Sus scrofa: one gene and its partners. The protein of the gene in region 1 binds, or shares a complex with, the protein of each later gene. Links are inferred from orthologs where the notes say so. Each region holds a gene or a part of one and is shown in the gene's direction. Other genes may lie near its edges. The genes, in order: NRIP1, RORA and ESRRG.

What was found.
Region 2: the proteins of NRIP1 (region 1) and RORA are in contact, whole or in part, in a crystal structure (PDB 4S15), measured with the Homo sapiens proteins. The link is inferred for Sus scrofa from reciprocal best matches to the Homo sapiens genes NRIP1 and RORA. Residues at the interface, in NP_001426204.1 of Homo sapiens: Thr499, Leu500, Leu501, Gln502, Leu504, Leu505, His507; in NP_599023.1 of Homo sapiens: Gln332, Val335, Lys339, Phe344, Met345, Gln349, Gln352, Ile353, Leu356, Pro505, Leu506, Glu509, Leu510.
Region 3: the proteins of NRIP1 (region 1) and ESRRG are in contact, whole or in part, in a crystal structure (PDB 2GPP), measured with the Homo sapiens proteins. The link is inferred for Sus scrofa from reciprocal best matches to the Homo sapiens genes NRIP1 and ESRRG. Residues at the interface, in NP_001426204.1 of Homo sapiens: Ser378, Leu379, Leu380, Leu381, Leu383, Leu384, Lys385, Ser386, Gln387; in NP_001429.2 of Homo sapiens: Val277, Ile280, Lys284, Phe289, Leu294, Gln297, Met298, Leu301, Gln302, Lys448, Leu449, Glu452, Met453.

The regions. Positions count from the first base shown.
Region 1 is NC_010455.5:179,825,191-179,829,957, reverse strand, and holds part of NRIP1 (nuclear receptor-interacting protein 1), read left to right. Parts: coding exon 1-2,551; 3' UTR 2,552-4,767. UniProt on the Homo sapiens protein: Modulates transcriptional activation by steroid receptors such as NR3C1, NR3C2 and ESR1. Also modulates transcriptional repression by nuclear hormone receptors.
Region 2 is NC_010443.5:111,456,196-111,460,964, forward strand, and holds part of RORA (nuclear receptor ROR-alpha), read left to right. Parts: intron 1-1,548; coding exon 1,549-1,944; intron 1,945-4,769. UniProt on the Homo sapiens protein: Nuclear receptor that binds DNA as a monomer to ROR response elements (RORE) containing a single core motif half-site 5'-AGGTCA-3' preceded by a short A-T-rich sequence.
Region 3 is NC_010452.4:7,028,009-7,033,361, reverse strand, and holds the start of ESRRG (estrogen-related receptor gamma), read left to right. Parts: upstream 1-1,630; 5' UTR 1,631-3,430; coding exon 3,431-3,486; exon of another isoform or gene 3,487-3,741; intron 3,742-5,353. UniProt on the Homo sapiens protein: Orphan receptor that acts as a transcription activator in the absence of bound ligand. Binds specifically to an estrogen response element and activates reporter genes controlled by estrogen response elements.

The DNA.
Region 1 (4,767 bases):
TGGCCAGAAGGATGTGGGCAGTTTCCAGGTCTCCAAAGGAGTGTCAGGCCATCTTAATGGCCAGGCAAGAACATCATCAAACAAATTAATGGCTAGCAAAAGTACAACATTTCAAAGTCCAATGGGTCTCGTTCCTTCTTCCCCCAAAAATGCAGGCTATAAGAATTCACTGGAAAGAAACAATATCAAACAAGCTGCTAATAATAGTTTGCTTTTACATCTTCTTAAAAGCCAGACCATACCTAAGCCAATGAACGGACACAGTCACAGTGAGAGAGGAAGCATTTTTGAGGAGAGCAGTACACCTACAACTATTGATGACTACTCAGATAACAATCCCAGTTTTACAGATGATAGCAGTGGTGATGAAAGCTCTTATTCCAACTGTGTGCCCATAGACTTGTCTTGCAAGCACCGAACCGAAAAGCCAGAACCTGACCAGCCTGTTTCTCTAGATAACTTAACTCAGTCCTTACTAAACACTTGGGATCCCAAAGTCCCCGAAGTAGATAACAAAGAAGATCAAGATACCTCAAAGAATTCTAGGCTAAATTCACACCAGAAAGTGACCCTTCTTCAGCTGCTCCTCGGCCATAAGAATGAAGAAAATGTAGAAAGAAACAACAGCCCTCAGGAAGTCCACAGTGATGTGACAAAGTTCAGCACACAGAACTATGCTCGGACCTCTGTCATTGAAAGCCCGGGTACCAACAGGACGACGCCAGTGAGCACTCCACCCCTACTTGCATCGGCCAAAGCCGAGTCTCCCATCAACCTTTCCCAGCATTCTTTGGTCATTAGATGGAATTCCCCACCGTATGCCTGTGGCCCTCCGTCTGAAAAGCCAACAAATGCCACCTCCAACCGCTTGATGGACCTTACAAAGAGCAAAGACTTGCAAGGAGAGAAACCAGTCCAAAACGAAGGTGCACAAAACTCTGCCACGTTCAGTGCCAGCAAGCTGTTAAAAAATTTAGCGCAGTGTGGCATGCAGTCTTCCATGTCAGGGGAAGAGCAGAGACCCAGTAAACAGCTGCTAAGCGTCAACACGGATAAACCTACAGGTGTGATGGAGAGACTCGGTAGCCCTCTGCTCGCAAATAAAACAAACCCAGCTGAAGAAAATAAAGCATTCGGCAGCCACTCAGCCGGCCCTGAGCCCGGACTTTCTGGTTCCGAAATAGAAAATCTGCTTGAAAGGCGCACTGTCCTCCAGTTGCTGCTGGGAAACTCCAACAAAGGGAAGATGGAGAAGAAAGAGAAGATTCCCTTAAGGGAGGGAAGTACTCAGGAACATACAGACCGAGCTTTAAGTGAACAAATATTGATGGTGAAAATAAAATCTGAGCCTTGCGACGACTTCCACGCGCACACCCCGGATGTGCACTCGAGCCCCGATGCTCAGGGCGCCCCATTCTTAGGGATGGCTCCTCCCGTGCAGAGAGGCGCAGCTGCCTTACCAGCTCCCGAGGACTTGAAATCGGAGCCCGCTTCACCTCAGGATTTTTCTTTCTCAAAGAACGGTCTGCTAAGTCGCTTGCTGAGACAAAATCAAGAGAGCTACCCGGCTGATGACCTGGACGGCAGTCACAGAAACAGTGAACTGACACTTTTGGAATCAAAGAATCTTTGCATGGTCCCTAAGAAAAGGAAGCTTTATACTGAGCCGTTAGAAAATCCATTTAAAAAGATGAAAAATAACATAGTCGATGCTGCAGGCAGTCACAGTGCTCCGGAGGTGCTGTATGGGTCCTTGCTTAACCAGCAAGAGCTGAAGCTTAGCAGAAATGAGCTTGACTTGAAATACCCTGGCAGTCATAGTTCACCCAGCGAAAGTGAACACAGGAGTTGGGCCAGAGAGAGCAAAAGCTTCAACGTTTTGAAACAGCTGCTTCTCTCAGAAAACTGTGTGAGAGATTTGTCCCAGCATCGGAGTAACTCTGTCGGTGACAGTAAAAAGAAAGGATGCAAAAACAGTGTGACCAACAGCAAGCCTGAATTCAGCATTTCTTCTTTAAATGGACTGATGTACAGTGCCGCTCAGCCCAGCAGTTGCATGGACAGCAGGACATTTCCATACCCAGGAGGAGTCAAAACTCCCCTGAGTCCTCCTTTCCCTGAGCACTTGGGCTGCACAGGGTCCAGACCAGAATCTGGGCTTGTGAACGGGTGTTCCATGCCCAGTGAGAAGAGACCCATTAAGTGGGTTATCACAGACGCGGAAAAGAATGAGTATGAAAAAGACTCTCCAAGACTGACCAAAACTAACCCAATACTGTATTACATGCTCCAGAAAGGAGGCAATTCTGTTACCAGTCGAGAAACACAAGACAAGGACGTTTGGAGGGAGCCTTCCTCTGCTGAAAACATCTCACAGGTTACAATCAAAGAAGAGTTACTCCCTGCTGCAGAAACTAAAGCTTCTTTCTTTAATTTAAGAAGCCCTTATAATAGCCATATGGGAAATAATGCCTCTCGCCCACACAGCGCAAATGGAGAAGTTTATGGACTTCTGGGAAACATGCTAACAATAAAAAAGGAATCAGAATAAAATGTACCTGCCGTCCATCTTTGGATCTTTTTAAAAACTAAATGAGTTTGAACTTGAGATCTGTATAAATAAGCGCATGATTTGAGAAAAGCATGGTATAATTGAAACTTTCTCATTTTGAAAAGTCTTGGTTCCTGGTGATGTTTAAATATGCATACTACTTTTTGCTTTACGTTAGATGTCATGAGGAAGCTGCTGAACTAGCCAGTGGTTGTTTAACACTTTGTATGCATCAGACAACAACTGTGAGTAGCCTATGAATGATATCCTTTTTTTAATCACAGATAACAGGCATACATTAAAATGTAAATCTTCATCCACAGTGGATTAATGCATTGCTGCCTTTATTAGGGTATTTTATTTTGCTTTTCAGAAGTCAGCCTACACAACACATTTTTTTTTAAGGCCAATTTATTAAATAATAACTCTTTAAAGATAATTGTTGAACCTAGTTCAATTAAAAAACCTAGTTCGGATTTATTTCTCAATTCAGTTCAAACATAAATTAGGAAAAATATGCTTACATTTTTCACTTTTGCTAAAGAAAAAATTATTTTTAACTCTTGGAAGGGGTTTTATGATTCCCTAATGTGTCTGCTCCACCCCAGTCCTTTTCAATACACTATATTTCTTTAAACCTTGTACTACTTAGTAAAAAATTGATTACAATTGATGGAAGTTTGATAGATCTTAAAAAAAGGCAGATTTCCATTTTTGTATTTTAACTACTTTACTAAATTAATATTCCTCCTTTTGCAGAATTAGGAGAGTTAGCATTTATCTTCAGGTGGTTTCCTGAATAGTAGAAATAAGTTGTTTTTAACAGAAGCAAAATGGCTTTTCTTTGGACAGTTTTCACCATCTCTTATAAAAGCTACTTCTCACCATTTCTGTGGTACCTGTGAGTCTTGTGACCAGGGTTTCTTAATAAAGCTGGACTCAGACTACCTGCGTTAGAATCATCTGGAGCACTAGTTTTAAAATGCAGATTCCTAGGCAGCATCTCAGATCTACACAGAACAAGAATCTCTGCTAAGTGGACCTGGGAATCTTCCTTCTGCATCTTAACACACTCCCTAGGTGTTTCTTCTGCACTCTGAAATTTGAAAACCATTGCCTGACTTTTCTCAGAACACAGGATTGTAAACAAACTATTTGATGCCTATATTTTCCCCAGTATAGTCACACATCAACTCAAAATTTGCAATATTGTACTTCGTATATTACTGTTATGTCTTTGGAAATCGGGTTCAGAATACTTTTTATGACAAAAAAAAAAATTGGGTGAAGGGGACAACTTTCATACCTGGCTCAACATCTCAGGAAAATCTGTGATTATTTATGTGTTCTAATGAGTAACATCTACTTAATTAGCCTTAGGGATGGACTAACAGGGCCACTTACCAAACTCAGGTGATTCCAGGATGGTTTGGAAACTCCTCCCGAATACATCCTTAACTTCTATTAAAATCCTTGTCCTCAGAACAGTGCTGACAAAGATGAAAACATTTATTTCAAACCCAAGAAAGACACTAAACTCAACTAAACAAACAAATACAGAGGGCACATATACATGACAGAATTATACACAGTCACTCCATCGGATCTGTGATTTTGAAATAGTGATTAAAAATAACCATTGGTTTTTCTTGGAAAAACTTAATATGCTATTGAGCCACATGATGTTTTTATGTTGAAACAAGATCAAGTTTTTCAGTTCAGTTTTTACAATCCACAGTTCATTCACCAGATGTTTTTGGTTTTAACTGTAAACCAGGTTAGCAACTGACCTATCAAAAAATTGTTGTATAATCAACTATTAATTAGAAGGAAATCTATTTGAAATTGTTCTACTTGAAGTTGTTTCTAAGATTTTTATATTGAAAATGGGTGTTATTTCCTAATATGATCTAAAACCCGGAATCATTATTTTTTCTCAAAATGATTTGTAAATAGTGACTGGACATATTATAAAATAATAGGAGTGAATATCATGCTACATCCTGAAGAGATGAAGGCATATGCTGATTTTGAAATGAAAATTCCACTGGCCAGTGAAGAAATTCACCTCCCTCTCATCTTTACTCTGTGACAATCTTACTGTCTACACTAAATAAAGAAGCTTTTAAACAAGGCATTTTTTTTTTTTTTCTGCCATTGTGAAAGGTCTGGAGTCTTAGGAATATCCTAGGTTAAAAGTAGTGATATCTCCCCCT
Region 2 (4,769 bases), on another chromosome or scaffold:
TTTCATGACCTGATCCCTTCATTTTCCTTAGAGGCTAGTATGATTTCTGTTGTTAATGATAAGAAAAGAATTAAAACACAGTTCAGAGTCATAGCAGAACAAGTGTAATACCTATCGATTAATCAGGTATTAATTGATCCCCTAGGGAGTTCTAGAATATTCTTTTCAAAAAAATAAATAAAGTACCTTCAGTCTGCCTTGTGGAGATTTTGCATGTAAATGACAGCACCTGTCCTTAGGGGCTTAGAGTGAATTGGTGGCTTATACAATTCTAGGCCTGAAATTTAGAGTCCCCATCAGCATGAGTGCTGTCTTAATGAGCCCCACCCAAGTTTGTCACCTGAGTCGTGGAAACTGGAGATTGACCAGAATCCAGCTCTCACTTGTTTTCTCTTGTGCAAAAGGAAAGCACAACCTCTTTGGCAGGAAAGAATCCACCAGTTGGCCTGGATGGTGGGTCCTGATTCCCAGTTTCACGTCCATCCATCCTGCCTCCTTCCCTAAGACTGGTGGAATTATGATGGTGGTCAAATAGATGAATTCTTCCACCCAGTCAGGTGTAAATTTAACCATAGTCGATTAGGAATCTAAGTCCCTCCAGCAGAGGCTTTATCTGCATATACAGAGTCAGACTGAGAAATAAATGCGTTAGTGGGGAGTTCGGACCAAGAAGTCATAGGATTTTTTCCCCCCAATTACATAGGTGTTTCACGAAAAATCGTTTGGGATTCTGAATTAACTGGAAAGTCACTCCAGCTATTGGTCCACTTTAAATATGGGGACATCACAAGAAGGGCTGCAAACACAGATTCTCCCAGCAGGGATCTTCCAGTGTCTGCCCTTTCCAAAATTCTGATATTCTTTTCACTTGGGGCTAAACAAGTATACCAAAAATCATCCTTAAAGAGGGGTCCAAGGGTTTCACACAGACCTGAGGCATGGCCCAGGAGTGGGGTGGGGGAGACTCAGAGATGTAACTCAGAGAACTGCAAACACTTCATCCAGTCAGTTAAACTTTTTCAAGGAGGCCCCAGATTTGGTTGTTCGATCAGAAAGAAACTCATGCCACTGTACGGATTAGTGAAATTAATGCAAGATGAGGTTTGACTGCTTGTGACTCATTGTACCTCCATGAGTCTCTGCATCCCTGTGCACTGATCTGAACACCGTGAAGAGACAGAGGAGGTGGTCTAGGCCAGCTGCCTAGGTAGAGGGGGAATGAGCCCATTAAGTCTCATTTCAGTGGCTCCCACTGAGCGCAGGGTCATGTGACAGCACCAAGACCCTGGTCATTGCTCTGGGTTTCGTCTATCAGCCTTGGGTCTGTTTCTGAAATAGCCTCTCTGGGCTGTGTCTTTGCTGTTTGGGATGTGGCATGAGCCTGTGTGGGGCAGGACTGTTTTCACCCCTGGACCGTGTCCTTGTTTTGCGGCCCTTTGGTTTTGGATTGAGAGTGTCTGAGATTTCAAAGGAACTCCTAAAGCATGGCAGAGAGGAGAATGGAGAAAAGCGTATTGTATATGGTGTGGTGTGGCTTTTTTCTTCCAGCTGTAAAGTTTGGCCGCATGTCGAAAAAGCAGAGAGACAGCTTGTATGCAGAAGTACAGAAACACCGAATGCAGCAGCAGCAGCGCGACCACCAACAGCAGCCTGGAGAGGCTGAGCCGCTGACTCCCACCTACAACATCTCGGCCAATGGGCTGACGGAACTTCACGATGACCTCAGCAACTACATTGACGGCCACACCCCTGAGGGCAGCAAGGCAGACTCTGCCGTCAGCAGCTTCTACCTGGACATACAGCCTTCCCCGGACCAGTCAGGTCTTGATATCAATGGAATCAAACCAGAACCAATATGTGACTACACACCAGCATCAGGCTTCTTTCCCTACTGCTCTTTCACCAATGGAGAGACTTCCCCAACTGTGTCCATGGCAGAATTAGGTAACGGCTTCCATGTTTCCATTGGGATATATTCCTTGTGCCCATCAGAGTAAATGGGATATGTTTGACTTTCCGCTAAGGAGTTATGTTATTAAAATAATGCATCTAGGAGTTCCTGTCGTGGTGCAGCAGAAATGAATCTGACTAGGAACCATGAGGTTGCAGGTTTGATCCCTGGCCTTGCTCAGTGGGTTAAGGATCTGGTGTTGCCGTGAGTTGTGGTGTAGGTCGCAGACATGGCTTGGATCCATCGTTGCTGTGGCTGTGGTGTAGGCCAGTAGCTGTAGCTCTGATTCAACCCCTAGCCTGGAAACCTCCATATGCAGTGGGTGTGGCCCTAAAAAGCAAAAAATAAAATAAAATGAAATAGAAAAGTATCTAAAAAAATAAATAAATACCATAAAATGATGCATCTAGCAGGACAATTCAGCTTTACCTTTTGGACCACTTCGTAATTCCAGCCTGGCCCCTTGCTCTTTGCCTGTCCGCTGTTTCCCATTGTATATCCAAGAAGTTCATTGACCTCTCAGCGTCAAAGCTGGGACAAGATGAACTTAAAGCCATCTTTAAATTCCACCAAAAAATGTCTAAGCTCAGGGAATGGCCCCATTAACTTCACCTCTTTAAGTTATATTCTAGGTATTGCTTTATATACCAAAAGTCATGGAATGGCAACCCACAGACTCAAGCTGGTCCAAAGACATATTTCTCTGAGCTTTACAATTTTTGAACTGGTTGCTAAAGTACAGAGCTTTACAATTTTTAAATTGGTTGCTAAAGTTTTAAACCTGGACGCCTCCACCAGAAAGTTCAGATGTTCCGTTTCTTGTGGGAGGAAAGAAGAATGATCTGGTTACACTGGAGCAGTATTTGTGAATGGCAGCAACCAGCTGGTACCAGTTAGGTCCTAACCTTTTAAATGAACCCATCCCGCTGTCCCCATTTAGATCACTCCTCAGGCCCTGTTAGCATCTACGTTTTTCAACTCTGATGTGTTCCCTAAACTTTCAAGGAAAGTTGGCTTATTTGCCAAAATGTTTTCGTGATGTATATTAATGATGAAACAGATGTATGTCATGGAAGATCCACCTTGCCCCCCAAAACAAAACAAAACAAAACCCAACAACCCTGTCATTTCCTTATTCCTGTGACATTGGTGCTTCTCTGGAGATGTGACCTAGAAATGTTAACACAGACAATGGAAAACTTTTCATTTCAAGGAAGTTGTGTTAACATCCTCTGTTATATTTAATCGATTTTTAAGTGCAGCACTATTATTAGAGAAACTTTGATAAGGACCTTGGCTGTTTGAGAATTTGATCTGCTCCTCCCCATGATTCCTCATACAAGGTTATACTCCTTTGGGATATTTCAATTAGTTGCTGTGAAGATGACTAAGTTAAGACGAGGAGAGAATGGAGACTTCAGATGGAAAAGAACCAGCAGGTTCTGACTTGAGCACAGACACTCTTAGTTCACAGAGAGAACAGTTGTGTTCTTTAGATGGTTTCTCCACCTCTGTACCCCATAAAACATTTTTAAGTGAAATTTATATTTCCAGTAAAATCTTTCTCCAAATAGAACAAATTGAATGTTCTTTACGGTTTTTACACAAGCACCTCTTTATGGGTCTAAATTTAAATCCTCAAGAGCAGGGACATTTTAAGCCTGGTCTTTAACCACTGAACAGCATTAAAGGTGTATCACAGCTCTTTTGATTAACAGAGAAACCTCTGAACTAGAAGCCAAGCTGAGCAGAGGTGGGTTTGATTTTTTTTTTTTTTTTTTCTTGAACTAGAACAAAAACCTTCCGTTTTGGTCGTGAAATCTTGGTTGGCTAAGCCTTAAGCAGGGCTGTAATGAAAGTAAAATTTTCAGAAATGAATAAGGATATGATTGAAAGTTGACAGGCACTTGTGAAAAATGACCTGGCTCACTTTAGGCTTGCTTCTACTTTATCATAACTACTAGTGAATCTGCCTGTTTGCTTGTCATATGTTCAACCCAAAATAAACCCACACTGCTTGACCTAAGTGTGGCCCTTGAACATGGCACTTGGGCTGAATGTGTGCTGATTCCTGAGTGGAGCCAGAAATGGCTCAGCTTCTCCTTTCCCAGCAAACCTGTCAACTCCTGGAGGGTGTGGGGCCCTGTGCCCACATCTATTCTACATGTTCTCTTCAATTAGGGATTTTTCACATGTATTATGGCATTTTCCAGGATGAATAAAATTAACTGTTACTAAGATTTGTCCCAAACCCAAAACTAAAGAAGAATTTATCTGAAAAGGATGTAACAGGACTCTAATTTTCTGTCCCTTTTGCACGTGGAGGATAGTTTGAGGAGCTAAGAGTAGCATCAAAGTGACCAAAGGCTTTGCTGCTGCTTATCCAAAGTCTTTACTTCCCTGAAATTCCTCTGGGGCTTAAGTTCTGCTCTTTCTTTAATTTGACTTCATTTTAGGCTAAATTTTGTCATCCAATTTGAAACAAATGAAACCATTTGTATAATTGGAAAATAAATTGTGAGTTAACATAGCCTAAGCCCAATTAATTCTGTCTTTCAATAATAGCATCTACAATCCATTACTTTTAGTGGAAATATATCCGCATTCCTGGCTATGAAATTTTACCCTTGTTATACACTTAGCACCCAAATTATACATTCCAGATAAACTATCTAGGTTTATTTTTTTTAAGCGCTAATTGCACCTATTACTATAATCAGTAATTAAAGCCTTGTGCATGAGAGACAGCTGATGTACTGGGCAAAGCATGAGACAAGAAGTCAGTTTACATGGGTTGTGGTTGTAGCTTTGCTGTAGG
Region 3 (5,353 bases), on another chromosome or scaffold:
GGAGGGAGCTGGGGAGAGGGCATTTCCGTAAGATGTCCTTCCACTCCAGGGTTCTGTAACCTTTCGATTCCAAAGAAGGAATGTGCCAAACCCTGCAGAAACTCCAGGTCCAGCTATGAAATTAATGAATTCCCTTCCGTGACCATTCTGGGGTTCCGCTGCCCTCGTGCTTTGAAGGCACTTGGTGATGGTGATCGCTTGTCCTTGCTTAATTTCTCAGGTGGCCGTCCTCATTTTGCTTCCCTCTCCCCAGCTGCCCCTTTTGAAAACTAGAATCGCAATTCAAGGATAGGAGTACCTGTTGTGGCGCAGCAGAAGCAAATCCAACTAGCGTCCATGAGAATGTGGGTTTGATCCCTGGCCTTGCTTGGTGGGTTAAGGATCCGGTGTTGCCGTGAGCTGTGGTGTAGGTTGCAGATGCAGCTTGAATCCTGTGTTGCTGTGGCTATAGCGTAGGCTGGCAGCTATAGCTCCGATTTAGCCCCTAGCCTGAAACTTTCACTTGCCGTGGGTGCAGCCCTAAAAAGCAAAAAAAAAAAAAAAAAAAAAATTCAAGGCTAAACGTTTAAATTAGCAAATTGGCAGGAAGAAGAGAAGCTGCTGCGGAGAGGTTAAGAGCTTATCAGAAACTGACTGCCTCCCTGACCTGGCACAGCCAGCCTGCCTCCCCCCTTCCTGTCAACTGCCTGCATCCCAAGGTTCCTTATTCTGTATCACAAAAACGAGAAACCCCAACCCCAAAAGGAAAAGCACGGCACCCCATCCACTTAATATTTTCTATACCACATTTAAAGGTGCTTTTTTTTTTTTTTTTTTTTTTGGCTACACCCACCGCATATAGAGGTTCCCAGGCCGAAGACTGAATTCGAGCTGCAGTTGTGACCTACACCATAGCTGTGGCAAGGTAGGATCCTTAACCCACTGCCACAGTGGGAACTCCTTTTAGAAGTGTTTTTACTGATGTCAGAAACAGGAAAAAAAAAAAAAAAACTATGCCAAAAAATAGAAACAAATTGGGACAGAAAATCTGATTGGCGGAGCACATTTAATGTGTCTAACAGCAAAGTGCTGTATTTTTATGGCCCCTGAGAACCATTCTAATAGGACTTTAAGACTTGAACGATCTCGTGGTGGGTGGGGGGTAGTTTTCAAACTTACAAAATGGCAACGCATTTCTTAGAGAAAAATCGTGGGTTCTCCAAGAGAGGCCCCTGCCTTTGCAGGTAAAACCGTGCCATTAGGCTATGGAAGGATAGTATTCGAATGCGGGGAAAATTCCAACCCGTCCTCCAAACTGAAGGCTGGTTTGCTAACATGCGTGTCAAACCATGACTCCAGGCTGCCCTGAACTTGATTGTGCATTCTCAGTTCTTGATTAAAGCTACCTCCAGAATGCATTCCAGCTCAGGAAACACAGAAGCAGTTCCTTGATCAAGAATGTGAGATAGGGAGTTCCCGTCATGGCACAGAGAAAACGAATCTAACTAGGATCCATGAGGTTTCAGGTTCAATCCCTGGCCTCGCTCAGTGGGTTAAGGATCCAGTGTGGCCGTGAGCTGTGGTGTAGGTTGCAGATGCGGCTTGGATCTGTGGTGGCTGTGCTATAGGCTGGCAGCTGTAGCCCTGATTCAACTCCTAGCCTGGGAACTTCCATATGTCGCAGGTATGGCCCTAAAGAGCAACAACAACAAAAAAAAAGTGCAATGGCCAGGGTCTCCCAGAGGAGAGGAAGCTGCAGATGAGTTTCGGAGCCCTGGACGCACAGATGGGCACCCTCTAGAAGTGCACGGGGCCTTGTCTGCATCCTCTCTCTACCACAGTGAGGTAAAGGCAATAGCATCCTTTGAGAATGGGCTTATTCTCTCCAAATTTCAACACTGAAATAGAAAGACGACAGCTGAATGTAATTCCCAGGACAGCCGAGGGCTGTCCTGCCCTCACAAGATGCATAAAAGCGTGCGAAACTCTTCCGAAGAAGGCTGTCTATTAGGGGATTTGTTTCCGGGAGCTTAGGATTTCTTACATTTGAGTTTTAGCCGATATTTAATTTAACTCGGCGAGGAATATAATACACTGGGGCAAGACGCGAGCGAAGTGAATGGTATGGCAGTCTGCACAGGACGGCTGACCTTGCAGCTGAGTATTAATTTGAAGTAGCGGAATTAAAATTTCCTATTCTTTTGCATTGTCATGCCTCACGTTGATAAGCACAAAGAAATGTAAATAAAAAAGACCTATTTCAAAACCTTCCGGTACAACCTTTTTGTTTTATGACAAAAGACAGTTAATTAACATAGGAGCAGTAAGCAGCCTTCCCAAACTCATGCTAATTATGTATTCTGTTGACCGTGACTCCAGTCATAAGGTAATTGGCTCGCAGCAACATGACATTTCAAATCATCTCTTGAAATTACATCAAAAAGCCAGCCTGTTTTGTTTTGATAGGGGAACAATCAATTTGATAAGTGGTAACACAGCTCATTGTTTCACATTAATTAGACTAATTGCTGCATGTTAGCCTCTGAAATAGACAGAACTTGGAGAAGACAAAGGCGGCGGCCTTTAGCATGCAGTGCGTGTGGCGGTTCCACTCTTGTGCACAGGCTGTAGGCAGAAAACAGAGCTGTTAGGAGCCTGCCTTGCGGGAGGCTGGGTGTGAACGGTAGTTGGATGTGTTATGCTGAATACACCGGCTTTCGATTGCAGCATCCAGGTTCCCAGGCCCACAGAGAAACCAAGCACGGTCTCTCAGTTCACCCGGTTTGGGTTTGATGGCGTGGCAACCTTCCCACCATCAGGACCCAAACACGTCCCTGCCAAGAGAGGCCCGACCTCACAGCCCCTTGTCGTTTGCCGGGCACTCAGGCCTTAAAAATCGGACTCAAACAAACAAACCAAAAAGACTGCAGCCCAAACAGAATCAAATAACAGGGAAAAAAAAAAAAAGGATTTTCCCCCCAATTACAAACCAGTGTTTTAATCCGCTGCGATTCAGCAAACTGTCATTGTAGAAACCGAACACTTAAGCCTGCACATGCCTTTTCCATTTGACAGACTGTACCTTGGTTTCTTCCCGAGACCACCAATTTAGCCACACGGGACCGTGTGATCTTTAGGACAACAGCCCATGTCAATCTCAATTGGCATCGAAGCGAATTGGACTTGTGACCGGCTGGACTTCTGATGCTCACACAGGTTGATGAGCTCGTGTTACGGGGCGTCTGATGCAATGGAACAGAAATCCTTCCCAGGGAAAAGGCAGCCAGCCCTTAAAAAACCCAGATGCACCACCTCTGTCACTCTGACGCTGTCTAGCCGTCCACACACAACTTCCGAACATTGCTAGCCAACTGAACAAACATGCAAATCGGCCGCCGTGTTGCTGGTGCACCTATTCGCATCTATACTGTTTTGACATGTGAAGTGGGAAATGTCTAAATATGTGATGCGGCAGTTGCGTTTCATCACATTGAAAGCGGTGAGATGGTAAATCATTTTGTTGGCTTTGGGCTGCATTTGACCTAAGGGACAAAGTCTCAAACAGCCAGAGACTCTGCTAACTGCTCCATGCAAAGAGTAGTTTGCCCCTGCCCACGCTGTGGAACGGACTTTCTGTTTCTCACTAGTTTCTCCAACTTTCCCACGAGTGGTGTTGTCTTTGAACAGGAAGGACAGCAGTGTGTAAACAGAACAGGTGTTTCTTTTCCTAAGCTCCACAGCTGCATTACCCGTCCCCAAATTGTAAGTATGAGGTTCCTCCGCTTGTAAATGCTTCTGGGCTGTCGCTGAAATGACAGAGGGAGAGATGACGGTGACATGCAGACCTGGCTTGGAAAATGAATCTGAAACATTTAAAGGAGAAGGATTTCCTTCTGTGTACGAGGGCACCCGGGCTGGGGGAGGTGGGGTGGGGTGGGGGGGGCGTTTGGCCGTTTGTACCAAATCAGAGCCTTTGAATTCTTCTTCTAGCACTCCCTCAAAGGAATGATCCTTTTTCGGGAACTTCAAAGCCCAAATTTGTGCAGCAGGTTTAATTTGGTCATTTAAAAAAAAAAAAAATGTGGTGTAGCAGAGGCAAGCAATTAAATGATTGCTCCTACAAGTTAATAAATCTTCAACAGCCTTTTCAAAAGGTCCAAGGATTTGTGATTTAAGTGTGCTAATGTGCTGTTTTCCCTGTAAAATCCCGGGGTTTATTCAGAAGGTAAATGATGGGGAGAAAAAAAAAAAGGCACCGAGATTGAAGCCCCTTAACATTCAGCTTAAGTGCTGGTTCCACCCGCCTGAGCACACGTTTCGCAGCAGCTTTGTTAAGATTCCAGCCGGCACCCTCGCTGTCACCACTGGTTCTTGTACAGTCAAGCCCTGCTCTGTGCAGAGCAAATCTTTGCTCAGTTAGGGGAGCGTCAGTCACCAGTGAGCTTGGCTGGCAGCCCAGGGTTGTTAGGCCTTTCCCTGCTCCACCCGCATGAGAAATTGATGGGACATAGCTACCCAAACAACAGAGTGGAGAAATGGGATAAAAAATAAATAAATAAATGAAATTGTCACCCAGGCTGACAGAATAATTTTGAAAATGCAATGTACACATCCAGTCTACAAGCAGAACAGGGAAACTCGGGCTTTGCTTGGTGCCAGGCAGTGTCTCCTCTGGTTGGTAGCCGTTTCTTCTTTCTGCTTCTCAAAGATGTGGATTTGGAATAGGGGGCAGGAGGAAGAGCAGTCCCGGCCAATGATTAACCTGGGTAGAACCTTCTGGCCACTTAGACCTGCTAGATGCTCCTAGGCCAATTATCTACTTAAGAAAAACATCCCCCCAGCAACGCTGTGGAGTGAAGTCACAGGCTTTGGTGGAGGGAGACAACTCTGACAGTGGGTAATTTCTGCTGAGGAGAAAAATAAGGATCAGAGAAAATCAGGGACGGAGCCGAAAAAAAGATATAAAGTAGGCATGGTTTTTAAATAGGAATGCCTGGCAGAGCCATTAATCACACAGAGCTCTGAGCTACAGGCTTTCTATAGTGCCACTAAGACCAAAGGACAAGACTCCTCAGAGAGCCCTGAATATACCATCAAACGCTCCCCTCTTGCCCCAAAGCATAAGAGGAATGACCTGCTCAGAGGCCAAAAAAAAAAAAAAAAAATTAAAAATCTAAGGAGTTTGAGTAAATATTTAGATTCTTTGGTTTTCTACCATTGAATCAATGCTCTGGTGGCCCTGGCAGTTCTTACTCTCATCTAAGTGGAAAAAGGGAATTTCATTGACGGCAATAGATTATTTAGCAGCTTTGACGGGTTGTGGAGGGGAGGGGCCGGCACACTGATGAACCCGAACCCTCCAGCAAGCCTTTGT